Ovis aries: one gene and its partner. The protein of the gene in region 1 interacts with the protein of each later gene in a pairwise test. Links are inferred from orthologs where the notes say so. Each region holds a gene or a part of one and is shown on either strand. Other genes may lie near its edges.

Evidence for each region.
Region 2: the proteins of ARHGEF2 (region 1) and RPP25L interact in binary tests that used the Homo sapiens proteins (3 or more experiments, as listed by UniProt). The two-hybrid records come from large-scale screens. The link is inferred for Ovis aries from reciprocal best matches to the Homo sapiens genes ARHGEF2 and RPP25L.

What each region holds. Positions count from the first base shown.
Region 1 is NC_056054.1:105,981,761-105,996,807, reverse strand, and holds the end of ARHGEF2 (rho guanine nucleotide exchange factor 2), read left to right. Parts: intron 1-245; coding exon 246-313; intron 314-651; coding exon 652-715; intron 716-1,365; coding exon 1,366-1,492; intron 1,493-1,602; coding exon of another isoform or gene 1,603-1,719; coding exon 1,720-1,829; intron 1,830-1,978; coding exon 1,979-2,125; intron 2,126-2,664; coding exon 2,665-2,915; intron 2,916-3,121; coding exon 3,122-3,247; intron 3,248-3,541; coding exon 3,542-3,659; intron 3,660-3,856; coding exon 3,857-4,105; intron 4,106-5,646; coding exon 5,647-5,723; intron 5,724-6,189; coding exon 6,190-6,359; intron 6,360-8,074; coding exon 8,075-8,142; intron 8,143-9,271; coding exon 9,272-9,472; intron 9,473-9,837; coding exon 9,838-9,957; intron 9,958-10,084; coding exon 10,085-10,152; intron 10,153-10,293; coding exon 10,294-10,329; intron 10,330-10,535; coding exon 10,536-10,586; intron 10,587-10,788; coding exon 10,789-11,235; intron 11,236-11,476; coding exon 11,477-11,660; intron 11,661-12,378; and 3 more. UniProt on the Homo sapiens protein: Activates Rho-GTPases by promoting the exchange of GDP for GTP.
Region 2 is NC_056055.1:36,946,714-36,962,207, reverse strand, and holds RPP25L (ribonuclease P protein subunit p25-like protein), read right to left. Parts: upstream 6,891-15,494; 5' UTR 6,848-6,890; exon of another isoform or gene 6,810-6,847; intron 6,097-6,809; exon of another isoform or gene 6,094-6,096; 5' UTR 6,064-6,093; coding exon 5,572-6,063; 3' UTR 4,692-5,571; downstream 1-4,691. UniProt on the Homo sapiens protein: May be a component of ribonuclease P or MRP.

The DNA of each region.
Region 1 (15,047 bases):
AGTCAGGATTATCCCCCTCCTATGGCTTAATTGTGGTCCATACCTATCCCCCCCTCACTTCATCTCCTGCTTGAAGGAAGGGGGAGGCGGGAGGAGAGGGACTGGGGTGTGGCGATGGCCAAGGAGTCTGGGGAGGGGGCGAGTCTCTGACGGTGTGGCCAGGGGGACATGGGGGTCTGCATGTGGGTGTGTCCTGTCCTGTACCACCCGGCCCTCCCGTCACCCTCTCTACCCCACCCTCCCAGCCTGCAATGTGACTATCCACAACCGCTGTAAAGACACCCTCGCCAACTGTACCAAGGTCAAGCAGAAGGTGAGATGGCAGGGAGGGCAGAGGGCTGGGGGAGAGGGTAGTGAGTGTGTGGTACCCTCGTGCCTATTCCGTTCATTCCTCACCGTGTGTTCCCCAACCCCTCTCCTCTCCACGGGGCAGCCCGACCCTCCACCCTAGGCCTCAGGCCCCGCCAGAGGGGGCCAGCCTGTTTCTCTGGACACATCCCCTTGGCACTGGGCTCAGCCACCCTGATGCCCTTAGCGATCAAGCCAGCTTTCTCCCGAGGGGGCCAGCCACCCAGCTCCTGTCCTGGGCCCACGGAGGTGACCCTTGGGTGACAGCTGTTCTTGGTGTCTCTCTTGCCCTCTGTCTCACAGCAACAGAAAGCTGCCCTGCTGAAGAACAACACTGCCTTGCAGTCCGTTTCTCTTCGCAGTAAGAGTGAGTAGTGAGGGTGCAGGAGCCGCCACAGGACCCTGGCCCACCAGGCCTCTCGGCCCATGGGCTCTGCTGCCCCCTTGAGGTCGTTCCCTGGCACGGCACCTTCCTCCCTTCATCTGGAAGCTGATGGCGGCGGCACAAGGGAGATGGAGACCCCTGGGCCTGGGGGCGGGACAGCAGAATTAAAATGAGGTTGAAGGCTTGGAATGACTGGTCATCTGAGCCTGCTCACACTTTATATTAGTATGATCAGTTATTTACATGGCCCTTGGGGATGTTGGCAGAAGTTGTTAAGGGCCAATTCAGAAAGATCTGGTGTGACAGAAAGAGCGGGGTGCTTAGTCAGGAAAACTAGAGTCTGAGTCTGTGCTCAGCCACCAGCTGAGTCACCCCAGCCAAATCTCTTCACCATCCTGAGCTGCAGTTTGCTTGTAGGCTTGTGGCCGGGAAGAGATAAGAAAAGCTCTTTGTAACCATTAAAAGTATTGCACAAGTTTATGGGTAGCATTATTATCATCTTTCTCTGACTAGAACTGGGCTAAAGGTGGGGTTGGAGAGGAGGCTTCCTTTCTAGTCCAGGAGCCTGGGAGGCTTGAGTCCCGGGAAGGCACCAGGTTTGAGGCTTGCTTGTTTGGTATCCCCTCCGACAGCTACCACTCGGGAGCGGCCCAGCTCGGCCATCTACCCCTCCGACATCCGGCAGTCCCTGCTCGGCTCCCGCCGTGGCCGCTCCTCCTTGTCTTTAGCCAAAAGCGTCTCCACCACCAATATTGCTGGGTGAGCCTCTGCTTGGGGACGGTAGAACCAGGCAGGCAGAGTGAGGCTGTGGAGACAGGCCGGGGGGAGGGGCTGAGAGGTCCTCCCCATCCCTGAGTTCAGAATGATAGACAGGTAAGGAGAACTTGGAGTGACTGCCTCTGGGATGCCGCCTTTGTTCCCCAACCTGGGAAGGGATCTCTCGCCCGAGTCAGTCGGATGATGCAGCCAGGCTCCACTCCCCTCAGACACTTCAATGATGAGTCTCCCCTGGGGCTGCGCCGGATCCTCTCACAGTCCACGGACTCCCTCAACATGCGGAACCGGACACTGTCGGTGGAGTCCCTCATCGACGAAGGTGACCGTGCCCGGACCTGGGGGAGACCCAGGCGTGAGGGGCGGGCGGGAGCTGGCCCGAGAAAGGCAGGGTGGGAAGGGATCCAGAGAAGGGCCCAGGACCCAGGGAAGAGATTTGGGGTCCGAGTCGTTTCCCCCACTCGCGTCCAGGTGCTGAAGTGATCTACAATGAGCTGATGAGTGACTTTGAGATGGATGAGAAGGATTTTGCAGCTGATTCCTGGAGCCTTGCGGTGGATAGCAGCTTCTTGCAGCAGCATAAAAAGGAGGTGATGAAGCAGCAGGATGTCATCTATGGTGAGCCGGGAAGACCACCCCGGACTTCTCTTTTGTTATTGGCCTTGTTTCTCTGTGTCCTTCCTCTGCCAGCCCCTACCTCTCAAGACACTTTCCTCTTATCCCATTGGCCTTCAAGACCCTGCCAGTGATCCCATAAGTAGCTACGAGGTCCACAGCTTTTGGAGCTGTTGACCTCCAAGGCCCTTCGTAATCCCTTCCTTCCAGTCAACTCTTAGTCTTTCCTCTCTGCCCATTGCATGCCCAGCTCTGTGCTGGGGACTGTGGGAAGTCTAGGCATGTAAGGAACACATAGTTTTTGACTTTATACCTTGAGATGGCAAGAGTGAGCCCCTCTTAGCCCCTTCCCCTGCCTGTCTCCACAGCCTCATTCTGCCTTGAGATGGCAAGGCATAAAGATAAATGATTAGAAAAATGATCTAAGATCATAACGCAGAATATTAGCCTGGAAGGGAAACTGAAAACCTCTAATAAGCCTGAGGTCTCCAGCCTTGGCCCCACCAGTTGTGGCCAAGCCGGGTGTTCCACCGTCCCCACAGAGCTGATCCAGACAGAGCTGCACCACGTGCGGACACTGAAGATCATGACCCGCCTCTTCCGCACGGGCATGCTGGAAGAGCTGCAGCTGGAGCCAGGAGTGGTCCAGGGCCTGTTCCCCTGTGTGGACGAGCTCACTGACATCCACACGCGCTTCCTCAGCCAGCTGCTGGATCGCCGGCGCCATGCCCTATGCCCTGGTAGCACCCGGAACTTCGTCATCCATCGCTTGGGGGACCTGCTCATCAGCCAGGTGAGAAAAGCCAGGAGCCCTGGGCAGCAGTCTTGGGCGGGGGTGTGACTAGAGTGGGCATTTCTCATCTCCAGACTCTGGGGGGTGGGGCAGAGAGAGTTGGAAAGGCAGGAAGCCAGCCTGTTTGGCAGGAGGCGAGAGGGCATTGGGGATGAGAGGTGACTTTGGGGGACATGCTGACCCAGCCTTGCTCCCCCAACTTCTAGTTCTCAGGTCCTAGCGCAGAGCAGATGCGGAAGACCTACTCAGAGTTCTGTAGCCGCCACACCAAGGCCTTAAAACTCTATAAGGAGCTGTATGCCCGAGACAAACGCTTCCAGCAGTTCATCCGGGTGAGCAAACCTCTCCAAGACCCACCCTCCGCCTCCTGTAGTGCCCCAGCCCTAGTGGACACAGCTGCTCGTTTTTCCAGGGGTAGAGCGAGTGCTCTCGCTCCTTGGGTCCTCACAGTAAACCTGTGACCTTGTCGGCCCCATTTTCCAGAGTCATTAACCTCCCGCCAGCCAGCATGAGGTAAATGACCAAGTGCAGGCAGGCACCAGGGCTTAGGCTCCAAGTCCAGCGTCCTTTCTGGTGCCCTCCCCGCGGGTGCCCCTCTGGCACTGAGCCCTGACCTCGCTTTGTAGAAAGTGACCCGCTCGGCGGTGCTGAAGCGGCATGGGGTACAAGAGTGCATTCTGCTAGTGACTCAGCGCATCACCAAGTACCCAGTGCTCATCAACCGCATCCTGCAGCATTCCCACGGTGAGAGGGCGAGTCCAGGCGGGAGGAGGAGGGAGAGGGCTGTCAGGGGTGAGGCGTGGCCCTGGACAACCACCGGGAGGAAGAGGGTCACATATGGAACCCTGGGCAGCCTCTGAAGGCGGCATTGAGATCAGTGGGTTGGGGACTGGCGTGAAGCTGGCTGGGCCACCCCTTCCTCACGCCGACCTCGGTGTCAGGGATGGAGGAGGAGCGCCAGGACCTGACCACGGCCCTGGGGCTGGTGAAGGAGCTGCTGTCCAACGTGGACCAGGATGTGCACGAGCTGGAGAAAGGGGCCCGCCTGCAGGAGATCTACAACCGCATGGACCCTCGGGCCCAGGCCCCGGTTCCCGGCAAGGGCCCCTTTGGCCGAGAGGAGCTCCTGCGGCGCAAGCTCATTCACGATGGCTGCCTGCTCTGGAAGACTGCGACTGGGCGCTTCAAAGGTCAGTGGACAGCTTGGCAGACCAGGCAAGAGTCCATGGCCAGAGGGAGAAGCCTCCAAGCCCATAGGACCTCTTTTAATGTAGCCCTGGTGAGACCCAGTGGGAGGAAAATATGTGAGCTCTGTTGTAACAAAAGTCAGAATTCTGGATTTAATTTCATGGGCGATACAAGGACTTCGTTGTCAGGATTTGTTCATTCCTTTGGTCCTTGCATGCCCAGAAAGCTACCGATTTTGATGAGAAAAACAGAGAAATTCCAGGATTAGAGGACTAGCCCCTGGTAATTGGTTCTACCAGCTGGAGTCCCAGCCACTAGGGCTGGGGAATGGGCAGGCACTTTGGGAACACAGCTGAGGAAGGCCCTTGGAGGGGGTGGAGCCCAGGGAAGGGCGGGCCAAGTGGAGAAGAGAAAAGACTGCAGGGAAGGTGTGTTCAGGGCGGGGCGCACTGTCCCAGCCTCTCTTCCCAGACTATACTGGGCAAGGCTTGCCTACCTAAATCAAAGCAGAAGAGTCGCAGACCTCAGCTTTAGGTGTGAGGAATGCTACCTGAGGCCAGAGCTTGCCTGCACCTCTGTCCCGTGTCGTGAAGTCCCCACTCCATAGGCTTGAGTATTGCAGGCTTTGCCAGCCACTTTCCTCCATCCCTTTCTCTCCTTCCCATCCCTCCCACGCAGCAGCTAAGAATATAAACCATGGGGGGGTTAAAAATAGCAAGGCTGAAGAGCTTTATTTCTGAAGCCTTTAGCAGAAGCCCTCCCCTTCTGTGTGCCCACAACTTAGAAAGATCTCCAAGGGCAGAGGATGCATGTGTTTTCCTGACTGTGACATCTGACTTTCATGGGTTGACCTTTGTCTCCCCCAAGTCTTAAAGCACAGGACCCCGTAGAATGTGAGGGCCTTGAAGGTGGGGCAGAAAAGGAAAATGAAAGCAGGGCCTGCTGTTGTTGAAGGAGATTGGGATTGTTCAACAGTGGGAGAAATGAATAAGGAACCTAACTGTTCCCCTCCCCATGGAGCACAAAATAAGAAGTGGGGAATATGCTGGCATGGGGGGAATCTTAGACCAAATATCCAAAAAGATCTTATGTCAGTTGTTCAACATGGAACTGAAAGGCTCTGGGAGTCGTTTTACCCTCACAAGAATTCTGGACCCTTTCACACAGAAAAACACACGTGTGATAGATTAATATGTAAAAATTGCTTATGGAACTTTAGAGGATCTACAGAGCCTCTGAAGCGTGATAGCAGACAACCTAGGTGTCGGCAGACCACAGGCTAAGGAGCATTCATTGGATAAAGAGGCTTTTATTCAAGGCCACTGGGTGATTGCTTATAGGCATCTCTAGCCCAAGAAACTGTTTTGTCTGATGACACATGTGTCCCCCCCGCCCCCCACCGTTTCTGAGCTGTAGGAATGGGGAGAGGTGGGAGGTCTGCGAAGGGGGAGGAAACAACCAGAGGGAGAGAGGTCGGGGAAAGGGAAACAGCTGCTCGCATCCTCTAACGCTGACTCTCCTCCTGCCTCCATCCCCCTGCCAGATGTGCTCATGCTGCTGATGACAGATGTGCTGGTGTTTCTCCAAGAGAAGGACCAGAAGTACATCTTTCCTGCCCTGGTGAGACCTTCCACCTTCTTTCTCAGCATAGACAAGTGTTTCAGACCCTTCTTACTTTCCTACCCTGGCCAGGAAATCCTCCAACATCAAATAGCTATTATTGTAACCACTGCCGTAATATAATCAGGAAAAATAAGAAGAGCCAATGCATATAAATATGATCAGAAGGAATAAGAAGAGCCAACGCATATTGTTACTATATGCAGCCACTTTTTTTTACACGTGTTAGGAAGGCACATGATTATCCTCTTTTTGTAGATGAGAAAAGTAAAGCTTAAAGTTAATTAAATTGTCAAAGGTCACAGACGTTTCTCTAAGTCCACTCTGGCTGGCACCAGAGTCTGAGCTCTTAACTTATATTCTCGGCTGACTCTTCAATCCTTTGGATACTCCAGGAGGACTGAAGACTCAAATATCCAGGGGTCAGGATTCCCAGCTTTAATCCTTCCTGTGCCCCAATTGGCAGGACAAGCCCTCGGTGGTGTCACTGCAGAATCTCATCGTGCGGGACATCGCTAACCAGGAGAAAGGGATGTTTCTGATCAGTGCGGCACCCCCTGAGATGTACGAGGTCCACACGGCATCCCGGGATGACCGGAGCACCTGGATCCGCGTCATTCAGCAGAGTGTGCGAGTGTGAGTGTGTGCATGGACTTGTGGTTCCTGCAGTTTGGGGCGTTGGACCACAGCACTCCCAGGGAACAGAACCCAGGGTTCAGAAGTGGAAGGAGAGGCCAGGAGAGAGACAAGATGGCCCAAGGCAGGCAAGGTCATTTATGTTCTCTTGCCCGGTAAAGTTGCATTTTATACAGTGACAACCCCAACCGCCTTCTGAATGCACCATGAGCTGACAAGCCAAAGGAATACTTTAAGTTGGCACGTGCCGGCATGCCTGCCAGTCAGCAGTACAGTTTCACCTCCATTAACATCTTAGTCTGTAGGCAGTGGGCCATTATTTGGACTGTATTGTCTTTCACCTTCATTTTCTAAAAATGAATGAAAAAGAGAATAATGAAAAAAAAAAGAAAAAAAGGATAATGAAAGCATTGATACTAGTGATCAGAGGGGCAAGACTGAAACAAACTCCATACGATAGAGGCTACAAAGAAATCATTTTGTGTGCTAAAGCAGCAAATCTCTGGCTTCTGTTGGACACACATCAGATCTGAGTATGTGTCTGTTGTGATCAAAGAAAGTAAAGGGGCTTCCTTGGTGGCTCAGACGAAGAGCTGCCTTCAATGCAGACAAAAAGTCAAGTGCATGTAAAATGTCGAAAATGGATTCTCAGGCTTCCCTGGCAGCTCAGTGATCAAGAATCCTCCCGCCAGTGCAGGAGACACAGGTTCAATCCCTGATCCGGGAAGATCCCACATGCCTCGCAGCAGCTGACCCCATACCCCACAACTACTGAGCCTGTGCTCTAGAGCCTGGGAACTGCAGCTGCTGAGCCCACGGGCTGCAGCTACTGAAGCCTGAGCGCCCTAGGGCCCATCCTCCACAGCAGCAAGAGCCACCACGGTGAGGAGCCTGTACACCGTGACTAGCAAATAGCACCCACTTGCCGCACCTAGAGAAAAAGCCTGTGCAGCCGCTAAGACCCAGCACAGCCAAAAATAAATAAATAAAACTTTAAAAAAGAAAAGAAAGTACATTCTCAAGGATAATGCCTGAAAAATAAACTCAATTAGGATGTTTATGATTTTTTTGTTTATACTTTTCAGGGAATGGATTCTTCTCTACTTTATAATATATAAAACTATATATATTTTCTCACTTCTGCAATTTAGACTTTTGAACAAATTTTTCAGAAATTTGTGCAAAAATATGAAATTACCTGTTCTGGGAAAACAAGACCAAAGTTCCTATCCCATTGACAGTCGATCTATAGCGGCCTCTTTATTAATAATGTAAATATTTGTAGTCGTGAAACCATTATTCATGATAATTGTTTTATTGAGCTTATGCCACGTTCAAAGCACTCGTATATTATTTCATTTAATCCTCATACAAAAAAAACAAACTGTGAGGAAGATATCATCCCTGTTTCTCATATGAAGAAATAGAGAGGTTACCGCCTGGTAAACTGCAGAGCCAGAATCTGAGCCCAGTGTGCTTGACACCAAAACCTGCAGTTGTCCTTCCGCACTACGCTGCCTCTCTGGGTGACTTGCGGAGAGGCACTGGCAAGTAGATGCAGATCGTCAGTGCCAGGAAAAGGATGAAGCCAGGGCGCGGAGCTGACAAGACTTATCGGGGAAGTATAGAGCATGTTTGGGAAGGAGGGAAGGCAGATTCCTGGTGTGTAACCTAGCTTCCTTCCCCGAACCCCACCCAACCTGTGATCCCTCCAGATGCCCATCCAGGGAGGACTTCCCCCTGATTGAGACAGAGGATGAGGCTTACCTCCGGCGTATCAAGAGTAAGTCCAGGGGAGTTTGGGGGAGAATGGATGCATGCATATGTATGGCTGAGTCCCTTAGCTGTCTATCTGAAACTATCACAGAACTGTTAATCGGCTAAATTCCAATACCAAATAAAAAGTTTAATAAAAAAAATTACATGACGTTTTCAAAAAACAAAAAGAAAACAGTAAGTCTACCCACAGAGCTTGTTTAAATAATTTATCAGTATGATATATGCACACAGGGGAATACTATCTTAAAATGAGGTAGCTGTATGAGGGCTGATGTAGACCCACAACCAAAACATTTAGTTAAGTGAGAAGAGCAAGGTTTAAAACACTGTGAAGTATATGCTGTCACCAGCATTGGGGATAGATATGTGCCATGCATTTTGTGTATATGTGTGGAGTGTCTCTAGGAGGATATTATTACTGTGGTTTCTCTGGGAAGGGAAACTAGGAATAACAGGATTAAGATACTGACTTTTTTTTTTTACCATAGATCTGTATGTTAATTGGGGGTGTGATCTAACTGCTATACAAAAAAATCAACAAAAACCATTTGGTCACATGAGGTAGATTATTTCTCTCCACTTAACAGTCCAGAAGCGAGAAGTGCAGGGTGGTAGCGCAGCTGTGCCCTCTTTGTCATGAAGGTTCCCCGTCTCTGTGGCTGCATCACTCCTCCAGCTTCCGCTCTCACATCTGCATCCCAGCTAGCAAGGAGGGTTCGAGGACGAGGAGAGTTTATACTCGTTTCTTTTAAGGCCAGATCAGGAAGACATTCCCATCCACTGGTCAGAATTTAGTCCTGTGGCAATGCCTAACTGCAAGGCAGGTTGGGAAATGGCGTGTAACTGGGCAGCCACACGCCCAGAGGAAACTTGTACTCCTTCTGTAATCAAAACACGGGGAGATGAAAGCTGGTGGACAGCCTGCAGGCCCTGCTACACGCTTTCGTTTTGAAGACAACACTGCATGTGTTACTCATTCCCCCCCCCAAAAAAGTTCTCTTCTTTTGCATAAATGCCAAAAAAAAACCCAAAATGCAGTCCTCCCTCCCTGCCCATACCTGGCTCCTCATCCCTGGGGCTGCCCCTCCACTCCCAGTGGCTCTTCCGGGTGCTCACCTGTCTCTCATCCACAGTGGAGCTGCAGCAGAAAGACCGGGCCCTGGTGGAGCTGCTGCAGGAGAAGGTTGGGCTATTTGCCGAGATGACCCACTTCCAGGTGGAAGAGGATGGCGGCAGCGGGGTGCCCCTGCCCACCCTGCCCAGGGGCCTCTTCCGCTCTGAGTCCCTTGAGTCCCCTCGTGGCGAGCGGCTACTGCAGGACGCCATCCGTGAGGGTGAGGGAGCTTCTGGGGAAGAATCTGGACTCACCTCTTCGCCATCACACAATAGGGACACGTGGCTAGACAAGGGGAATGTCCATCCCATAGTCCGGAACTCCCCCAAGTGCCTGTTGGGTGCTGGATGCCAGGAATGGCGGGGGAAGATGGCCCTTGCTACTGTTTGCCACCTCTCATCCTGCACACCCCTGGGCACTTTAATGATCTTTTCCTCGTATGTGGTGTTGGCACTGAGACCCCATTACCTGTGCAGGGGGCATTTCCCTAGATGCCTGCATGTCCTGTGAACTGAGTGAACAGCAGCCCCTCCCACCCCCTGCAGAATTCCATCCCTTCTGTCCTCACCTCTTCTTTCCACACAGTGGAGGGCCTGAAAGACCTGCTGGTGGGGCCTGGAGTGGAGCTGCTCTTGACACCCCGGGAACCGTCCTTGCCCGTGGAGCCAGATAGCGGTGGTAACACAAGTCCTGGAGTCACTGCCAGTGAGTGCCCGGGTAGGGGACCACGGCAGGTGGGAGGAGTTAAAGAGAATGAGGTGGTACCAAGGTCTGAGTGGTGTCAGGGTGCTGGGGCAGCGAGGCCGGTGCGTCATCTTCCCCTTCTCAACAGATGGTGAGGCCAGAACCTTCAATGGATCTATTGAGCTCTGCAGAGCTGACTCAGACTCCAGCCAGAAGGTGGGTTTCAGGAGGTGTCAGGACTTAGCTAGAGGGTGGGAAATGGACTGCTGGCCTATAGACCCTTGACACAGAGCTATCAGGGACAGGCACCAGGGACTCGTGTGTCTGCTGATGCCCCATCCTTACCCGTTTCTGCAGGATCGAAATGGAAATCAGCTGAGATCTCCCCAGGAGGTGAGATGGGCTTGCAATGGTATGGGAGACTGAAAGAGGGGTTACTCTCAGCTGAGAAACTGGAGCCCAGTTTGGAGTTGGGGGTGCTGTATATACCTCAGAATACCTGCAGTCTTATTGTCCCCACACCCACACTTATTCAACTTCTGGTCAGTTCTCCCATCCTGAAGCTTGGACTCTGTTCCCCCCACCTCCTCTGTCCTCAGGAAGCGTTGCAGCGATTGATCAATCTCTATGGACTCCTGCATGGCCTACAGGTCAGTGAGGGTAGGGGCTCCAATGAGAATGGGAGGGACTGGGCCAGAGCTGTCCACTTAGCTAGAGCAGAACCATCCTAACAGGCCTGTCTAAACCTTCCTCTGATTCAAGCTCTATGGGACTCAAAATCTGGGCCCTGGGGAGTGAGGGATAGAAGAAATGGGATTCTGATACATCCCTTCATCTCCATTCTACCCGCAGGCGGCTGTGGCCCAGCAGGACACTTTGATGGAAGCCCGGTTCCCTGAGGGCCCCGAGCGGCGGGAAAAGCTGACCAGAGCCAATTCCCGGGATGGGGAGGCTGGCAGAGCCGGGGGCGTCCCTGTGGCTCCTGAAAAGCAGGCTACGGAACTAGCGTTGCTGCAGCGGCAACACGCGCTATTGCAGGAGGAGCTGCGGCGCTGCCGACGGCTCGGCGAGGAGCGTGCGACTGAGGCCGGCAGCTTGGAAGCCCGGCTCCGGGAGAGCGAGCAGGCCCGCGCCCTGCTGGAGCGGGAGGCCGAGGAGGCTCGCAGGCAGCTGGCCGCCTTGGGCCACACGGAACCCCCACTCGTGGCTGAGGCCCCCTGGGCCCGCCGGCCTCTGGATCCGCGGCGTCGGAGCCTCCCTGCTGGTGATGCCCTGTACTTGAGTTTCACACCCCCACAGGTAAGGACGCTTGAAGTAGTGAACTAACCTGGGGTGGACATCAGGGTCCAGGAGAGAATCTGAGGAACTGGAGGCCAAATGAAATCAGGCATTAAACTTGAAGGATATTAGGATACTGGCGGGAGGGCTGAACAATTTCGATGGGTGCAGAAAGAAATCAGTCAGTGGTAGATGTACTGAGAGTCAAGTCTTCACACTGCTCATTCCTGGACCTCTTGCTTTTTCCGCCTGCTGTCCATAGCCCAGCAGAGGCCACGACCGCCTGGATTTGCCTGTGACTATTCGCTCCGTCCATCGACCCTTTGAGGATCGAGAGAGGCAGGAGCTGGGCAGCCCCGACGAGCGGCTGCAAGATAGCAGTGACCCCGACACCGGCAGCGAGGAGGAGGGAGGCAGCCGTCTGTCTCCACCCCATAGTCCAAGAGGTGAGGTCCTGGCAGAGACACGGCGTAGAAACAGGGTGTAACCTGGGTACAGACCTTTGGGCTGTAGTTTCCAAGTGGAGCCTGCATTGGAAAGCACAGGAATGTTTAACCAACCACTGAGCTCCACAGTCACTCTTGGGACGGGCCTAGAGTGCTTCCTGGTTTGCCTCCTGGTAAACAGGTAGTGGATCTCTCAGAAGCAGAAAATGTAGGGGCCTCTGCTCCAGTAGGTCCATGATTCCAAACCTTTTCAAGCAGAAATAGATTTTCAGAGTGAAAAAATGTCAAAGACCTCCAAGTTCTTATAGCTGGCTCAGGAAATACAAAATAACCCGAAGCTACTGTGACTTCATATAATACTCATCTTAAAATATTTTGTATCTTATTAACCGTATTGTATCTCCATGTATTTAACAAGCTACCTAGGTATGGATCCATTATTTTGTGGACAGTTTTCCCATCACCCGGGGATTACAGACCTCTGCCATCCCTCCCTGGAGAATCCCAGGGATGGCGGAGCCTGGTGGGCTGCTGTCTATGGGGTCACACAGAGTCAGACACGACTAAAGTGACTTAGCAGCAGCAGCAGCAGCAGCAGCAGCCATCCCTCGCAGCTCTCTGAGCTGCTCAGCCCACAGACAGGGAGGCATCCGTGTAGGGGTTCGGCTGATCACAGGAGCCTCTGTTCACTCACTGACTTTGCCCCTTCCTCCTCCAGATTTCACCCGAATGCAGGACATCCCGGAAGAGACTGAGAGCCGAGATGGGGAGCCTTTAGCTTCCGAGAGCTAAGGGGGCCCCTCCCCCCGCCCGGTGTCCCCTGAAGAACATTACTGAGGGAGGCAAACCTTGGGGACTCCAATCTGCCAATGACAAGGGAACATTTGAAAGAACTGCTTACTGTCCTTGCCATCTCTTGGTATCCTTGGATACCTGGGGGCCATTTAGGAAGCGGGGGGAATTAAGCCACAGTGCCCCCTGCTGGCATCCAGAAGCTACACTGCAGATGCCAATTTTTCATGCCTTCTTCCGTCTACTTTAGGAAAATTTATTTATTTATTGTTTATTAGTTACAGAGGGAGAGGGGAGATTTAGAGGACCAGGGACATGGGAACCAAGCCATAGGGAACAGGGGGCCTTGTCCTTTAACACTACTGGGGTTTATTCAGGCTTAACCATGCAGCTGCTGGGTTCTAGCCCTGACACCCCTCCTGAGCAACACCCATCTTTGAGGAGAGGCTGCAGCCGTAAGCCCCTACTGCTCCTTCAGGAAGGGCTGTGGTCAGGGCCATGTCCCTCTCCCCTTCCCCTCCACCTCTTACTGCTGTTCCCCCTTCTCTCTGTCTTCTGTGGAAACCCCAGGAACTTAACCTGGCTTCCTAGAGTTGATGGAATGGAGGTTGAGGTGGCCATAATGGTTTGTTGGGGGATGAGGAGGAAAACTCACAGGGACCAGAATGGTTTTTTGTTGTTGTTGTTTTCTTTTTTTTGTACCAAAGCCAACTGCACGTGTTTTATATTTTTAAGAGAAGATTGTAGGCAATTAGAAATTGCAGCCTTCTATCTCTAAATCTCTGAAGAACTTGAGGGATGGGGGGAGCGTTGACTTCTCCACTCATCCATAGTAATGGGGGCCCCATTCTGACCTCTTCCCCAGTCATTTGGACAAACAGTTCTAGGGTGAGTTGGGAAATCTCTCCAAGCCCTGACCTCACCCCCACCTCAGCAACCATGACCTGAAACCTCAGTGTGAATTTGGGGGATTTTTCAGTGGATCCCCCCTTGCTCAGTGGCCACCAGCCCCGGCCAGTTTTCTGCCAATTTGATTATTTTAAAAAAAGGAAAAAAATAGAAAGTCGGGGGTGGGGGGATAAAGCAGGGAAAATTAAAGTCCTGGAACCCCAGGAAGTGCTGTCTGTTAATATCCACGAGTTCTGAGGATGCTGGTGATGAGGACAGCCAGGGAGGGCCCTGTGTTCATCTGAAAGGAGCCTCTTCCTCTCCCAGGAGGGGCGACTGCCTCCCTGAAGACACAGGGCACTAACAGAAGAAACTGGTGCCAACCTGTTTTTGTTGTCGTCTGTGATACTCACAAATACAAGGATAAAAATGAAGGGGCACTTAGGTTCCAGTGGCTGTTGGGGGGATTCCAATATTAAAAAACCTGTTTCCATCTCACTGGCATGCCGTGCTCAGAATTACATCAGCCTCTTGCCCCCTTCCCTCCCTTTCTGCACAGCTGCAGTTCCCCTTCACATCTCCCCTCAGATTCAGCCCTCACTCTGCCCTTGTTCTTCGCAGTGTCAGAATCCTGGGGTAACCTCTTTAAGACAGTTCCCCTCTCCCCTCATGGGAGCTGCTCATTTGCTCTTTGCATTTGGAGAGGCAGTGAGAGATTAGGTAGGTTTCGGTTCTTATTTTTGGTTAATTTTTTGCTTCCTGTTTCTGGTTAATAGCCTGCTCTGGGGCTGTGGGGGAGGGAGGCTAAGAGCGGCCAGTGTTGTCTAAATGCTGGCAGAGCACATAGACTTCTGTTGGAGCCCATGGAGCAAGATGAGAAGAATGGGGCTTGCAACCTCAGCTGGAAAGAGGAATTGAAACCACATGGGGTGTGGGCAGGCTTGGGGGAGCAGCCAGCACCCTCCACTCCTGTAATTCTCATCTATTGGCATCTGGCCTTGACGAGGTGCTTTCTCATCTGTCACAGAGTCTGTGAGGTAACAATTGTTCTCATTTTATAGACAAGAAAACCTGGCCCCAGAGGGTTGCCAGGCCAGCAGAGCAGCCAAGGAAGGGCCAGTCCTAGCTGCAGTCCCCCACTTCCCCTTCTCGGTTGCTCTGCAGAGACACACCGGAGCGCCAGGTTTCCAACACATTGGCCCATGGCTCGGCAGCTGGGACCCAGCGCCAAAAAGGCAGAGCAGGGGAACGTTAGCATCCAAAGACCACCAGAAAGGGAATGCAGGCTCCTCCTGTGTTCTCACGGGTCCAGTGAAGGGTGCTGGTCGGCAGGAAACAGGAGCCTGGAGACAGAGCCCAGAGCTTGAGTTGGGAGAAGCCCACAGCTCACAGGACAGCTTTGCTGTCCCTCCTGCTATCCCTGGGCTGAAACCCTCTCATCCTCGATCCCAGAACATGACACGACTTTCTCTGACATGCCACTCACATCTCTCACCATTTCTGTCGGTTGCCCCCTCTCTGTTCCCATTTTTGGAAACAGTCTTGCTCTCTGTCGGTCCTGTGCTCCAGAGCCCAGCCTCTTGCCACAGTAGTGCCGCCTTTCCATTGCACTGTCCCCTCCATCTCCCATCCCTTAGAGTGGGTTTGCATGCATTCATTCACCTCTGACTTGGACCTGTTTAAACTTTGTCAATATTTACCTCCGGG
Region 2 (15,494 bases), on another chromosome or scaffold:
TCCATCGAGTCAGTGATGCCATCCAGCCATCTCATCCTCTATCGTCCCCTTCTCCTCCTGCCCCCAATCTCTCCCAGCATCAGGGTCTTTTCCAATGATTCAACTCTTCGCATGAGGTGGCCAAAGTACTGGAGTTTCAGCTTTAGCATCATTCCTTCCAAAGTACACCCAGGACTGATCTCCTTTAGAATGGACTGGTTGGGGCTGTCAAACCGGGGCTGATCCTGGAGTTCCAGGCAAATGGTGGGGAGTGAGGAGCTAGGCTCTGAACAGGGAGTGCTACTGGTGTCTTTGAAAAATCTTGATGAGCTCTAAGCAGAAAGAATGGCAACATCAAAGGCTCAGAAGCAGAAAAATCTCATGACAAGTGGGAAGAGTAGGGAGTTAGTGTGGCCAGAGCCCCAGGTCGAAGGGGACCGAGTCAAAGACGGACTGTGCCGCGGAAGTAAGAAGAAAAAAGGCAGAGTAAGGAAAATCAGAGGTGCTTGACTGCAGTTTTAAATGGAGTGATCAAAACAGGCCTCACTGAGGTGACATTTGAGCAAAGCCTTAAAGAGGCAGGGAGATACCCATGCAGGTATCTGGCAGGGCATTCCAAACAATGGGAACAGCCAGTTCCCTGACTGTTGGAGAACTCAGAGGGGAGTGAAGCAGGGAGACCAACAAGGAGACTGTTGTAAGACAACGATGGGCACGAATCACCAGAGTCTGTGGGAATGGAGAAACCTAGCAAGCAAAATTGCCAGGACTTGGCGCCTGCTTGCATTTGGGAGGTGTATAGCTCCTGCAGTCATATTGTTCTGAAGTCCCCACTTCAAGGGTACTCACTGTGCATGCCATCTCTAAGGCAGGTAGTGAGAATGCTCAGCACATTCTATCCTGGATGCTCCTGCCTCCTCAACATACCCATGATTGCCCTCCCCAGCCTCTTAAATTCCTCAACCTCACCTTCCGTAACTTTCCCTCTGGACCACCAGGTATCTACTTTCATGCCCACTATCAAGTCCTGCCAGTTCCTAAAACTCTCAAACTCACTGATTTCATTTCATCCTTTGGCTACTATGAAGTGTTGAATTGCATCCCTCCATAAATATGTTGGAGTCCTAACCCTTAGTACCTCGCAATGTGACCTTATTTGAATCTTTACAGAGGTAAGTTAAAATGAGGCCATTGGGATGAGCCCTAGTCAAATATGACTGGTGTCCTTATGAAACGGAGAAATTTGGAGACAGAAACAGATACAAAGGAAGACGGATGTGAAGACGAATGACTGGAGTAAAGCAGCCAAAAGCCAAGACCAAAGACTGCTGGCACACCGGAAGCTAGGAAGCATTAAGGAAGGATTCCCAGGCAGGTTTCAGAGGGAAATGGCTCTGACACCTTGATTTGGGGCTTCTAGTCTCCAAAACTGTGAGACAGAACAGTTCTGTTGTTCTAAGCCACCCAGTTGGTGGTCCTTTGTTATGGGTGCCCTAGAAACTGGTACCACTATGATGAAACTGAAAGTAAAAGTGAAGTCGCTCAGTTGTGTCCAACTCTTTTCAACCCTGTGGTCTGTAGTCTACCAGGCTCCTCCGTCCATGGGAATTCTCCAGGAAAGAATACTGGAGGGGGTTGCCATTTCCTTCTCCAGGGATCTTCCTGACCCAGGTATCGAGCCTGGGTCTCCTGCATTGCAGGCAGATGCTTTACCCTCTGAGCCACCAGGGAAGCATACAATACTCTGTCCCACTTCTCTCACGTACTCTACCTCACTCCACCCCATTTTTATAAGGACCTCTAGGCCACTGACCCCTGCCCCTTTCTAGCTTCACTTCTTTCCCGACCTAGGTTGGATTCCTTGGACCTTCTTCACATACACTCTCTTGCCAGTCTCACTATTCCTGCTTCCCCTGAGTCTTACTTGACCTGTGGGTGCTGCTGGAGTGCACTCTGACTGATGATATTGTAAGTTCATGATCACCAACCTCATCTGGGCTTCTAGCTCTGCCTGGTCATCCTCCTATACCTCACTAGCTGTCTTCCCCAGCTGAAACAACTCTCTACCAGCCTCCTTACTCCACTCTCAGCAGCAAAGCTGGACTTCTGCTTTGAGATTAGAAGCCTCTGAACTCTGAATTCCGTGTCTCACCTTTACCTCTATACCCACCTGCATGCATAGCCATCCTCAACTCTGTCCCTCCTGCTACAGGCAGACATCTCTCCTCTGCCCTTTGTGAGGCCCGTGCCTCCCCGCTCTAAGACCCACTCCCTTTCATCGCCCCCAGGAGTGTCATTCTGAGTTAGCCACAATCTCCTGCATCTCCATGCCTTTCCCTACTGGCTTCCCCCATCAGCCTATAAACTAGTCTCTGCTAATTTATTAAAAATAAACAAAACTCTCTGTATCCCAGAATCATCTCTCTCCTCCTATCACAATAGTTTGTTGAAAAAGCTATCTCCATTTCCCTACCTTTTGTGCCAAGGTATTACCTTTTCTAAGAGATTATGGAGGAAGACACTTGGAGCTGGTGATGGACAGGGAGGCCTGGCATGCTGCAATTCATGGGGTCGCAAAGAGTCAGACACGACTGAGTGACTGAAGGAGAAAGTGAGCAGCAATTAAATTCGCAAATGTACATAGTACTTATGCTCCCTCCCTCCTAAGCTTGGTCAGGCTTTCTGATTCTGAATGCCTCACTCTGGCTCCCTCCCTGACATTCCTCTGGTAGGACTCACTTGGGCCCCCAAAGTGGCCAAGGAGGGAAAAGGCCCCAGATTCACTAGCCTTTGCTCTCCCGGCCTGTGTCCTTTCTCCTGATTCTCTGAGTAGTGGCAGATCCTATTCTTCTCAAGGGATTTTGACTGCACCTCAGTTTCCCTCCACATTCCCCCTGCCATCATCAAGACCCCAGGTGGTGCCTTAATGAGGAGCTGCCCAGTGGGGAGTCCCAAAGCCTGTGATGCTGCCTAACTGAATCACTCCCTCAACACAGTCACCACGCTTAGTTCACATGCTCTTTCCACCCTGGCCGCCACACACTGGATCGAGATGGGATGCTGAACCAAAGTTCAATAGTCTGCAAGAAGCCTGGTCCCAAATCTCTGGGGACCAATGATACACAGGGGGCTGTTGATGGTAAAGGACACGCAAGTAAAGATATTCAGAGAAATGGCAATATGCAGAAGCTGAGCAGGAGCAAAAAACATGAATTAGACACAGAGAGTAAGTCAGGCAGTTGCTGGTAGCCAGACAGAGTCAGGACCACAGCCACTAGGACGGTATTAGATGCTTCATGACCTTCTGCAGTTGAGAGGCCCAGCTGGGAAGCAGCAGAGGGTTTTTCTCTCTTACCTAGCATGCCCTGAATCTCCAACCCCTCCACTCCGGGCAAGAAAAAGATGCAGCATTCCAAGTTTTGACCACAGCCTGCTGGTCCTGTGGTCCCCTCATGCCTGTTCTAAGCTCTTATTGAGGCCTCCGGTCCCCCAACTCCATCTCTCCCAATATTTCAACCCCACCTGCCTGGATTCTCAGCCAGACATCACTTCAACACCCTCCAACTGCTGTGCCCACCCTGCTACATGGTCCCAGAAGAGTCCGCACTTTGTGCTTTCCTAGTGATTGGACACCCAAGCTGTGGACACAATGGAGAACATAAAGTCCAGTGGAAGATCCAATTTGCTCAACTCTTCACTGAGTCCACTACTGCCCACGATCCTGCTCTGGTTCCTGTAGCCTCCTGGCTACCACTGCAGTCTTCACCTTTCCTTATGCTCCTGACCTGTCCATGGTGAACCTGAACCTACAGCCAAGGTGAGACAGAAGAGGAACTGCTAGGGGTAAAAAGGGTGAGAACTGAAGGGGGAAGGTAGAATTGAGCTTATGTTTTTAAGGAAAAGGCATGTTTGTAAGCTGACTCCTTCATGAGGGCAATGAACATTTACAGTCATCCCTCAGTATCCTCAGGGAACTGTCTCTAGGAGCCCCTGTGAATTTCTTTTTTCACCAAAATACTCAAGTCCCTTAAATAAAAAGGTGGAGTACAATCAGCTGTTTGTATCCACGCGTTCTACATCCACAGATATGGAGAGCTGAGGGTATACAGGCTCAGGTGATATCTAAGAATCATATGTATATTTCTACATTTAATCCTCATAACAATCCTTCAAGGCAAGCACTACATCTTGTTCTATGGATGATGAGAACACTAAAGCGCAGAGCAGTAACTACCTAATAAGTGGCAGACCCAGGATTCAAATCCAGACAGCTTGGTGACCAAGGCCATGATCTCAACCACTATATTGTAATATAGGCATACTTCACAGAGACATTTGGGTGCAGTCCCAGACCACCTCAATAAAAGGAAGATCTCTATAGTGCAAGTCACAGAAGTTTATTGGTTCCCCAGTGCTTAAAAAAGTTATGTTTACTCTAAGAAGTGAAGTGAAGTCGCTCAGTCGTGTCTGACTCTTTGCGACCCCGTGGACTGTAGCCTACCAGGCTTCTCTGTCCATGGGATTCTCCAGGCAAGAATACTGGAGTGGGTTACCATTTCCTTCTCTAGGGGATCTTCCCGACCCAGGGATTGAACGCGGGTTTCCCACATTGGAGGCAGAGGTTTCAACCTCTAGCCACCAGGGAAGCCCTATATTGTAGTCTATTATGAATGTGACAGAATTATAGCTAAAAAACAATCTACATATATACCTTAATTTTAAAATATTTTATTGCTAAAAAATGCTAACCATCATTTGAGTTTTCACTAAGTTACAGTAGTAACATCATAGATCACTATAACAAATATAATAATTAAAGTTTGAGATATTTTGAGAATTACCAAAATGTGACAGAGACACGAAATGAACACTGTTGGAAAAATGGTGTTGCCAGACTTGTTCAGTGCAGGTCTGCCACAGAACTTCACTTCTTCTGTAAGAAATGTAGTATCTGCGTGCAACAAAATGAGGTATGTCTCTATGCTGCAGGTGGAGAAAAATGCAGAGTCCTTCAACCAGCCCCAAACAGGAAGCAGATAGCTACCCAGGGATCTAGACAGTCAGGTTACTGCTTGAGGCTGCATCTTCAGTCCAGATCCTCCCAGCACCCATCTGAACCTACTTTTCCTGTCTCCAGACTGGGAGCTCCTGGCGGTCAAGGGCAGGGACTCCCACTCCCTTAACCCTACTTCCACACAGCAGGCCAAGCAGAGGTTCATCAGACAGACAGAGCCTTTATTTCCTAACTCACTCCTTGGATCTCTGTCAGAAGACAGATGAGAGGCACTGTATGTAAAAGGCAGAGTAACCCTTCTTCTTTCTCTACATAATATTTTATTTTATTTATGCTGTGGCAAGTTGACCTACACATTGACTTAGGATGTTGCTTCTTAAGCAATCTAGAACCCGGCAGAGACTCCACACCTGTCACTCTTCACGAGAGTCCCTTTCCAGGAGCCAGAGGGAAGGGGAAGCAGGACAGGGAGGCCCACTTTCCTAAACTCAAGTTTTGTTGGAGACCTTGAGCAGTTAGAGGCTTCTCAAAGGTACAGCCATCCTAGACAGTCTAGACAACAGCTTGCCCACAGGTCCTCAGAACCGGGTATCTCGAGCCCTTCTTCTAGGCTGAGGGCCACAGCTGGAGGCAGGTGTGGGCCCGAGGTCAGGGGGTGCCCCAGGGGGCTGGTAGCCATACTCATTGGGGTCCAGGGGGTCTCGACTCAGCAGCACCCACACTGCAGGCACATGGCTGCGGACCGTGAGGGGATCCAGGCCCGTGTCAGGTGAGGTAGGCACCCAGCTGTCCTCGGTCTGCAGGAAGCGCAGCTTGGTAAGCTGGTACAAGCCTGGTACCCGCCGTTTGACAATCTCAGCACAGCTGACAGCCTTGCCTGCAGCGCGGCCAGAGCCTGAGAATACCACGTGGCGAGCGCTGCCGCCCTCCAGCCGCTCCAGCGCCAAGCCCAAGAGGTTGCGGATCTTGCTGCCAGCTCGGACCCGCATCTCCAGGGTATCAGGAGGCAGCTGGGGCATCGGGGAAGGTGCGGGGAGTTCCACAGAGCCAGCTTTCCGGTAGTGCTCCATCCAGCCTGCTGTCGTGTCCGCCTTGCTGCCCTGCTGCAGGGAAGTCAAAGGATGGTGGGCACTGTGTCCCAGGCGACCCCCACCCGAGGGTGCTGCTCCGCCCAGATTTCCCAGAAATGGGACTTTAAACCCCTCATCCCCAGGACAAGGAGTCATGCCTGCCTCCCCCTAGGGGGGCATGTACCCCAGTCCTCTGGACAGGGCCATAACCCTCCACCGACCCTGAACACCGGCCAAGCCTCTCCATCTCTAGCTCCCTGGCACTGGGAATGAACCTTTCTCATCTGGGGCTCCTGGGGACTGGATCCAGGCCCTCACCCGAGACTCCCTAAGCACAAGGCTGAGTGCTCCTCACCCTGGGCTCTCCACGGGGCGCCAGGGCAAAGGCGCCTCACTTCGTGCTCCCAGAGGTCAGGGCCAAGCTCCCCCCTCCCCGCCCCCCACACCCCATGCTCCACCAAACGGAGCCATGAGCCTTCATCCAAAAGCTCCTCAAAGACAGAAACGATCCTCTCCCCAACTCCTGGACCCCGAGGACAGGGTCGGGCACCCCTCTCTCATCCAGAGATTCCAGGGTCGATCCCCTCAACCGAGGGTCCCTCAGACACTGGGAAGCAGAGGCTTGACGCCAACGACTGCTCGGGCCACCCCTGGCGTCGGGGCCACGAGAGGCCGGGCTCCGTGGTGCCCACCGCCACGGGCCACCGCAGAGGCCCAGCACCCGGCCTTCCCTCTCCTCCTCGCACCTCTAGGCGCCCCTGCCCCGCAGGGCTCCGGCTCTCACCGCCGCGGCCGCGCACTCCCTACGCTCGATCTGAAGCCAAGATGGCGCGGGCCGAAAGCGCGCCGAGGTCGCGGGGCCGCGCACGCCGGACGGGGCGGGGCCTGAGGGGCCGGGTTCGCAAACCGAGAGGTTCCGGACGCCAGGGAGTGAGCTGGCCCCGGACGCGAGGATTCGCTGCACGCAGGGTGTCTTTGCTGTTCTGCCCCAGGCAAGGAGCATTCCTTTGCGAGCGGAGAGAGCGCTGCGGGGGAGAGGAGCGGCCAGCAGAGGAGTCCCGCGTCCGAAGTCCGCGTCGGAAGGATGCGGAGGATTTGGCCCTTAGAAGATTCAGGGCAGGCGTTACCCGCTGAGCACACCGCAGTAGCAGAGGCAGAGTGGCGGGTTTCTCTTTGGACCGGAGCTAGAGGTGCCGGGTGATGTGGCCGCTGCGGGGGCGAGAGCCTAGATCACCGAGTTCTGAACTTCAGCCTCACCCTGTGGGCACTGGCGACCCACAGGGGGCTTTCATCAAGGCGCAAGTCAGACTTGTTCGTGTGGGCAGCTCTCGGGCCTCCCTCTGGTGACTCCTGGCCGCACGTCCCAGGGGCATGTCCGCGGTGCTTCGTAAGTTGCCCTGCCTATACGTGCTCGAATATTTGATAAAGCATTTGTTGAAAGAATGAGCCAGAGAAACAACACTGGGAATGGGGAAAAGGAAATTAAGTTGGAAGATACTACGAGGTGGGTTTGGCGACTCTTCGGATGGAGGGAAGAGCCTAGGATGGCTCAGTTTCAGACTTGTTGGATTTGAGATGCCAATGAGACCGCGCCGGTACGGTGGCGGGCAGGTCGACGTAAAGGGGCCTGGAGCCGCAGCAGTCCCGGAGACCACAAGGGGACAGCAAACACTTGGTGGAGTGAGGTGCCATCGGTTTCTTTGCTAATATGCCAACTCTCCCTCCTTTCCAGCCACAGCACCGCCCCGCCCCGCCCCAGCCCAAAAGCCCTCTGCATCCTCTTTTAGGCTCCCCTTCTCTTATAGCATCAGGAGAGCAACATAGAGGCTCCCCTCTCCTTTGCACATGCTGCTCCCTTGGTTCTCAAAGACCCTGCATATCACTCTCCAGAGCTACCTGCCACATCCTTTTCTTCTGTGCCCCCAAAGAACCCTTGTGCCACATGGTTCCCTCCCCTTTTCCATGACTGTTTCCCCTGCTATCCTGTTCAGGGCAGGGATCAGGTGGACCCTACCTGTGACCTCCCCACCTGGTATGGCATCTGACATTTAGAGTGTACTTGGTAAATGTGGGATAAATAGATATAAAACCAAATGTTCCACTCACATCAAGCAAATGAGAGCATTCATCCTGAGAGCTCTATATCTCCCAGAAAGCTAGACTAGGATAAGTATAGCTGGTGGTCCAACTCCTAGGAAGATGGACAACTCTGGCCTCCACCACCCTCATCCCCACCACCATACCCATCCAAGACCAGGAAGCCAACACACTCCTGCAGTGACCTCTACAGTTTTATTGTCACTGGAACAGGATACTGATGAGGGGAGGAGGTGCAAAGAGCAAATCTCAAGTAACCAGACCTCTGACCTCAGAGCCCCACCTGAGTGCAGCCAGGTAGGTCTTGAATCCAATAAATACAGAGCCACCTCTTTTCTGCTCTGTTACAAGGGCAGGCTGGCACAGGTCCTGGAGCCTGGCTGCCCCAGCCCACCTTAGGATGGGAAGCGCCATTCACTCTTCCACAGGCTTCACTTGCTTGGCAGCTTCTAGCTGGCAGAGAAGTTCATCCCACTGCACAAACTGCTTGGAGAGAAGCATTGTCTGGTCACAAGTCAAGGTGAGAATGAGAATCTGAGAGAGGGAGAAGAAAGATGTTTGCCTCTGCCTAAAGGTAGGGGGAGCTGGGAAACAGACAGACTGGTTGGGATGGGTTGAGAGACAGAACTAGGAATGGAATAAAAGGCCAGGCTCCATACAGCACTCCTCAGGGGCCCAGCTGAGCGGAAAGGATACAGTCTTGTTGTATTCCTCCAGGAGCGCCTTGGACTCCTCAGTGATCTCCACACACTGGTCCTGTGGGGCCAAGGTGGGGCAGAGAAAGGCGTTACACAGAGCCCACACTCCCCATTGCCTGCCTCATCAGGGACCCTTGCTCCTCAGAAAAGGTAATGTTTAACCTCAGAGCTAAAAGGAGCAAATTTCTAAAAAGGCACTTTCAGGCTCTGCTATGGGTAGGTAGCCTAACTGCAGTCCTGAGGCTGATGGAAGAGGGAGCGAACCAGACATTTAACGACCTATTCCTACCGGTATATCCCTCCTTCTCCCCTGTACCCTATATCTGAACCCTCTCTGAACTTCACACTAGAGCCTGGCAATAGTGAAAAAACAGCTCCTCTACCTATGGTCAAGGATACATAGGAATTCTTGGGCACCTCCCAACATCAATCCTCTGGTGTCTCAGGACAGCCCTAATCTGGAGGCAGGAGGCCTAGATTTTACCCTAGGCAAGTCTCTTTCCCTCTGGAAGGTGCATGCAAGACAAAGGAGAAACCCTAACTTTCCCCTGAAGCTGACATCAGCTCCTGAGGCTACTTCCCCAGGAGACAGGGGTGGGGAAAAGGAGCCTCGCCACCTCTACTTTCCTACCTGGTCTCTCCCCTCCATACCTGCTGCTGGATGTGGATCTGGGCCAACCGCTGCAGGCGGGCGGCATGCTCAGGAACGGCTGTAAAACGCAACACACACTGCCCAGTGATGCTTGTGCCTTCCCCCGGGACTGCTCAATAGTCTATTAGGTCTTCGGCAGGATTAGAGTATTGAGTGGAGAAGCTAAACAAACGCCAGCTTCATCGACCACTGCAGCTGGAGGTGGTGGTGGTGGGGCTCCCTGCCCACCCCAGTCCTACTCCAGGACCCAAAGGGGAGGGGAAATACAGGCCCCTAGAAGACAAAACCTTGGGGTTTCCAGAAGTGCCCCATATACCCACCCCAGTGTTGTGAGCAGGGCAGGTAAAGAAAGCTTTGATTATTACAGGATCTGTTCCTTTGCTCTCAGCCCAGCGGGACCAGAGCTCCGTGGCCCAGGGAACAGGGAGCCTGCAGGTGGGCTGAGGACAAATGCAAGGTCCCTAAGCTGGTCACCTGGAACCCAACACCCAGAGCCTCAGCCACCATGCAGGGCCCACAGCTTAACGCTGTCAGATGCTCAGCAGGAAACTGATCAGGGGTAGGGAGGGGGAGCTGGGATAAATACCTCCAGAGACAGACAAGATGGATATCTGGATTCAATTAAAGTCACTGCTTGTCAAAATCCCGGCCCAGGGCAGTGCAGCCGGAAGAATTCACACACGTTCACACACCCACCCCCTGCAGGGACTCTTACAGTAAAACCTGGCCTCTGCAACACCCTGAAGGACAGATGCTGAGGGGCGGGGTAGAAAACAGAAGAAATCCTAAAGCGGGAGGCCACTGGGCTTACCTGAGTGTCCTTAGGGCCAAACTGCCTTGAGTTCTGAAGCTGAGCTCTATGCCCTGGCAATTTTAATCCCAGTGCAGGTGGCCAGTACCCCTCAGGTGAGGGTAAAGACAAGGAGCAGAGCCAGTCTGATCCCAGGGAAGTCCTGCCCATCCTACCTCCCCACGTAGAGCAGAGGAGATACAACCCCAGAAGGTACCTTTGATGTGAGTGCTGTCCAGCATGGGCACCAGAGCCTCCACCTGCTCCAGAAGTGCAACCTGCGAGAGAATGAACTGCTCCTCTGCGGCATGAACAGACAGAAAGTAGCAGTGAGGCGGGCCCAGGCACAGCCACTCCTGGGTGAGGAGCTGGGGACCAGGCCAGGGAGAGGACTGAGTCCTGGAGCCAGGGGCAGTCACTCTGCCCACTGCCCCCTTCTTTCTGTGCACACTCCCCCAGTCTGCCTCCACCTCTCCTGGATGCCACTGGTCTGACCTATCTTGAGCCCTATCTCTAAGTGCCTCCAAATCTAACCTTTCTCCAAGTTTTAACTCTGAGGCCTCTCCCCCTAGCCTCCTATCCACAAATTCAGAGAGCCCCTCCTAGGCCACAGGAGACAAAGTACTTCAGACCTGAAGTACCCAAGGGGTCCTGGGAAAGTCTGAAAGAGGGGACTTGTGGAAGATACCTGGCAGGTAGTGCTGAGTGGATCAGAGAGGCACGATTACAAGCTCCTGGAGAACTGGGACAGTAACAGGAGAGTCCAGTGACAAGCTCAGCAGGACTGGGATGGCCCTGTGCATAGGGGGTTTTAATGACTGCAGAGTGGGAAGGGGATTCAAGGGAGGACTGTTATGTCAATCATCTGATGGCAAGAATGCATGTCAATCAGTAGAGGAAAAAGAATTCAATTGGCTGAACTGGAGCAAGGAGAGCACAGCAAACAGCTAGATGGGAGGAGAGATCTGGCAGTCTATACGGAGCTTTGAATGGTAGGCTAAGGAATTAGGAATTCATCCTAGGAGGAAGAGGAAGATATAGACACGCTGAGGTTCCAAAGTAAACACTGTGGCATGCTGGAAATGTGTTTTGGGAAGATGATAGTGAGCCACATGCAAGAAGTGGGAAACTAGGGTCAAGAAGAGGACTTAGGAATAAGCAAAGGAAAAAAAAAAAGAAAGAAAATAAATAAATAAAAAAGAAGAGGACTTAGGAAACTGTTCAAGTGCCAGGGGATGAACACCAAGATAGTGCCACACGGAGGGGTAGAGAGGCTAGACTCAAGAATCGGTGCAGAAGAAGACCTCCTGAACTTGGTGTCTGAGCCACAGCAGTGGTTCAGGGATGTTCTGGCTCACCGCTGTATAATACCTCACACCTAGGATGTCCGGATCTCAGCAGATGAGCACTTGAATGCATGAACAAACACAGGTGATGGCAAATCATACCTAGTGGAGTAGCTAACTGATAAGCAAACATTGCTAAGACAACAGTTACTGCCTAGAACTCTGAAATCCCAGCACTTTCCCACCTGCAAGATGCTGAAACCCATGCTTATATCCTCATCTCTCCCACGGCAATGCTCTCTGCCCCCACCCTTTCCTAGAAGCTCTATGTCTACCGAGCAGAAGTAAGGAAGATTCTGAAGGAAAATCCTAGAGGCATGCCATAGATAGAACACCGGAGTCGCTTCCACAGTGGCTGACACTCTGGTCTGCAGCTGGCTCCAGGGTCTACTGTACCCAGTGTCTACAAGAGGACCACAAGTCCACCTCCAGCCTCAGTCCAGATTCCAGAGAGCAGCTTCCCAGGCTGCATCCAGGAGAGGACTGAGAGGGAGGCCATCTCTGTGCCCAGCGTCCCCCAGATGCATGTGCACATCCTATCCAGCACTACCTGCCAAGATGAACTGCAGCTTGGAGGCATCAGGTAAGGCAATGCGGTCAATGTACTCAGGATCCAGGTATTTGATCAAGTCTTCAACTAGAAAAGCAACAAGATGGAAAATGGAATAAGGTTGAGGAGTGGGGATCAGTCTTGTGAAGGAAGGATATCAGGGCAAGGGTCAGCCTTGGGGAGAGCCTTGAGTGAGGAACTGATACCCAAAGGGTCCACCAGGCCCCCATCCCCACTTCCCTGTCTCTTCCCTCTGATCACCTGCTATTCAGTCACTAAGTCATGTCCGACTCTTTGGACCCTGTGAACTGCAACATGCCAGGCTTCCCTGTCCCTCACTATCTCTGGGAGTTTGCTTAGATTCATGTCCATTGAGTCAGTGATGCTATCTAACCATCTTGCTGGCCAGAGTCAAATTTTACAGCTGGGAACACAATTGCCTCCAATACCCTGGGGCCCTCAGCATTTTCACTGATCTATCTTCAAGGGTAGAAGTTACCTTGCCCCTCTATGCCACCAAGACATGCCAGAACTTTATCTGATTTCTAGTTACTGAACAGGTTGCTAGCTCTGACATAATCAAAAAGGCCTGGCTGAGCCAAGGCTGGGGCTCTCAAGGTGCCTGCTTTCTTTCCTGCCCCTGAACCTTGCCTATGGAAATTCCATACTCCTCTCTCCTTCCCCAGTGGACTTTCAGGCAAAGCTCTTATCTCATAACTTAGGACATTGCCATGGGCTTGGGGTTTAACCACAAAGTAGAAAGCATACCCCAATTCACCATTTCATCAGGAAAACGTCTTCACCTGCTATCCCCAAAGGGAAACTCCAGTGACCTATTGGGCTTAAGGGCCTGGGCAGGGAACCAGGAAGCATAGGCTTGAGGAGGGCAGGCAGGCAGGCATGGAAACACTTACTTTTTTTGTACAGAACCTTCACCCTCTCCCTCTTGCTGGCGATGTTCCCCAAAGCCACCTGCACCTTGACCAGGCCATCAGCCACCTGTAAGGGGAGTGGAAGTTAATTCCAAGATTTACCACTTGGCCCAAGGCTTGGAAGAGATAAAGAATCTTCATTTCCTCAGACTCCAAACTTCCTTGTCCCTACAATCACCCCCTTCTCTTGTATTAAGAGATCCAACTCAACTTTCTGGGAATCCTCAGTATGAAGTGGTAGCTAATCATGTACTCCTCAGGGAGTTTCATGTGTGATTGGGGAAGTAATAAACTACTTTAGGGTTTATGGGGCACTAGCACATACGATCGGAGAAGGCAATGGCATCCCACTCCAGTACTCTTGCCTGGAAAATCCCATGGACGGAAGAGCCTGCAGTTCATGGGGTCACTATGAGTCGGACACGACTGAGTGACTTCACTTCAACCATTATTTAATACCATCCATTTTTATCACTCCAAAAGATGCACCATAGTCATTAACCATCACTGCCCATTCCCCCTCATCCTAGCCCATAGTAAACATTAATCTATTTTCTGTCTCTGTGGATTTGCCTTTTCTGGACATTCATATGAATGGAATGATACAATATGTGGTTTTTTGTGTCTGGCTTCTTTCACTTAGTATAATGCTTTCAAGATTCACCCACCTTGTAGCAGGGTATCAGTACTTCATTTCTTTTTATGGGTGAATAATATTTCTTTCTACAGATATGCCACAGTTAATTAATCCACTCATTTTATAGCCTCTCTTCCTCTGGGCTACACGTCTCTACCACGTCTTTTACAGCCCCCACCCAGTGTTTCCCAACCCCATCATAGGTCACTTAATATAGTAAATGCAGGCCTATATGCCAGTCTGCATGCCCTCTTCTAGTATGAAGTAGTGTTAGTCACTCTGGAGAAGGCGATGGCACCCCACTCCAGTACTCTTGCCTTGAAAATCCCATGGACAGAGGAGCCTGGTAGGCTGCAGTTCATGGGGTTGCGAAGAGTCGGACACAACTGGGCGACTTCCCTTTCACTTTTCACTTTCATGCATTGGAGAAGGAAATGGCAACCTGCTCCAGTGCTCTTGCCTGGAGAATCCCAGGGACGGGGGAGCCTGGTGGGCTGCCGTCTATGGGGTCGCAGAGTCAGACACGACTGAAGTGACTTAGCAGCAGCAGCACATACTATATATTCGCTGATCCCTTCCTCTTGGCTAAATTGATCTAGGCTTTAAGGGTAGAGGGTGAGGAATTCCAGTATTAAAGGGTTGAATAGCGGGAGAGACTATGAAAGTGAATGATCTCACACAGGTTTTAGGTTAGAGGATAAGGAATGCTGATATTCAAGGATCAAATATATGAGGAGGTAAATCAGTTCAGTCGCTCAGTCGTGTCCAACTCTTTGCGACCCCATGAACTGCAGCACTCCAGGCCTCCCTGTCCATCACTAACTCCCAGAGTCCACACAAACCCATGTCCATTGAGTTGGTGACACCATCCAACTATCTCATCCTCTGTCATCTCCTTCTCCTCCTGCCCTCAATCTTTCCCAGCATCAGGGTCTTTTCCAATGAGTCAGCTCTTCGCATCAGATGGCCAAAGTATTGGAGTTTCAGCTTCAACATCAGTCCTTCCAATGAACACCCAGGACTGATCTCCTTTAGGATGGACTGATTGGATCTCCTTACAGTCCAAGGGACTCTCAAGAGTCTTCTCCAACTCCACAGTTCAAAAGCATCAATTCTTCGGTGCTCAGCTTTTTTTATAGTCCAACTCTCACATCCATACATGACTACTGGAAAAACCATAGCCTTGACTAGATGGACCTTTGCTGGCAAAGTAATGTCTCTGCTTTTTAATATGCTGTCTAGGTTGGTCATAACTTTCTTTCCAAGGAGTAAGCATCTTTTAATTTCACGGCTGCAATCACAATCTGCAATGATTTTGGAGCCCAGAAAAATAAAGTCAGCCACTGTTTCCACTATTTCCCCATCTATTTACCATGAAGTGATGGGACCACATGCCATGATCTTCGTTTTCTGAATGTTGAGCTTTAAGCCAACTTTTTCACTCTCCTCTTTCACTTTCATCAAGAGGCTCTTTAGTTCTTCTTCACTTTCTGCCATAAGGGTGGTGTCATCTGCATATCTGAGGTTATTGATATTTCTCCCTGCAATCTTACTGAGTAAAAGCAGCCAGAGAGACAGGAGGCAAATCAGGAGGATTTGCATTATAGATGTCAAAGGGAAAAAATGTTTTGAGAAGTCAGTTCTCAAATGGAACACAATCTGGTGACAACTAATACCACAAGCAGTGTATGCATGTACGTCATTACCTCTGAGGCACTCAACTCCAGGG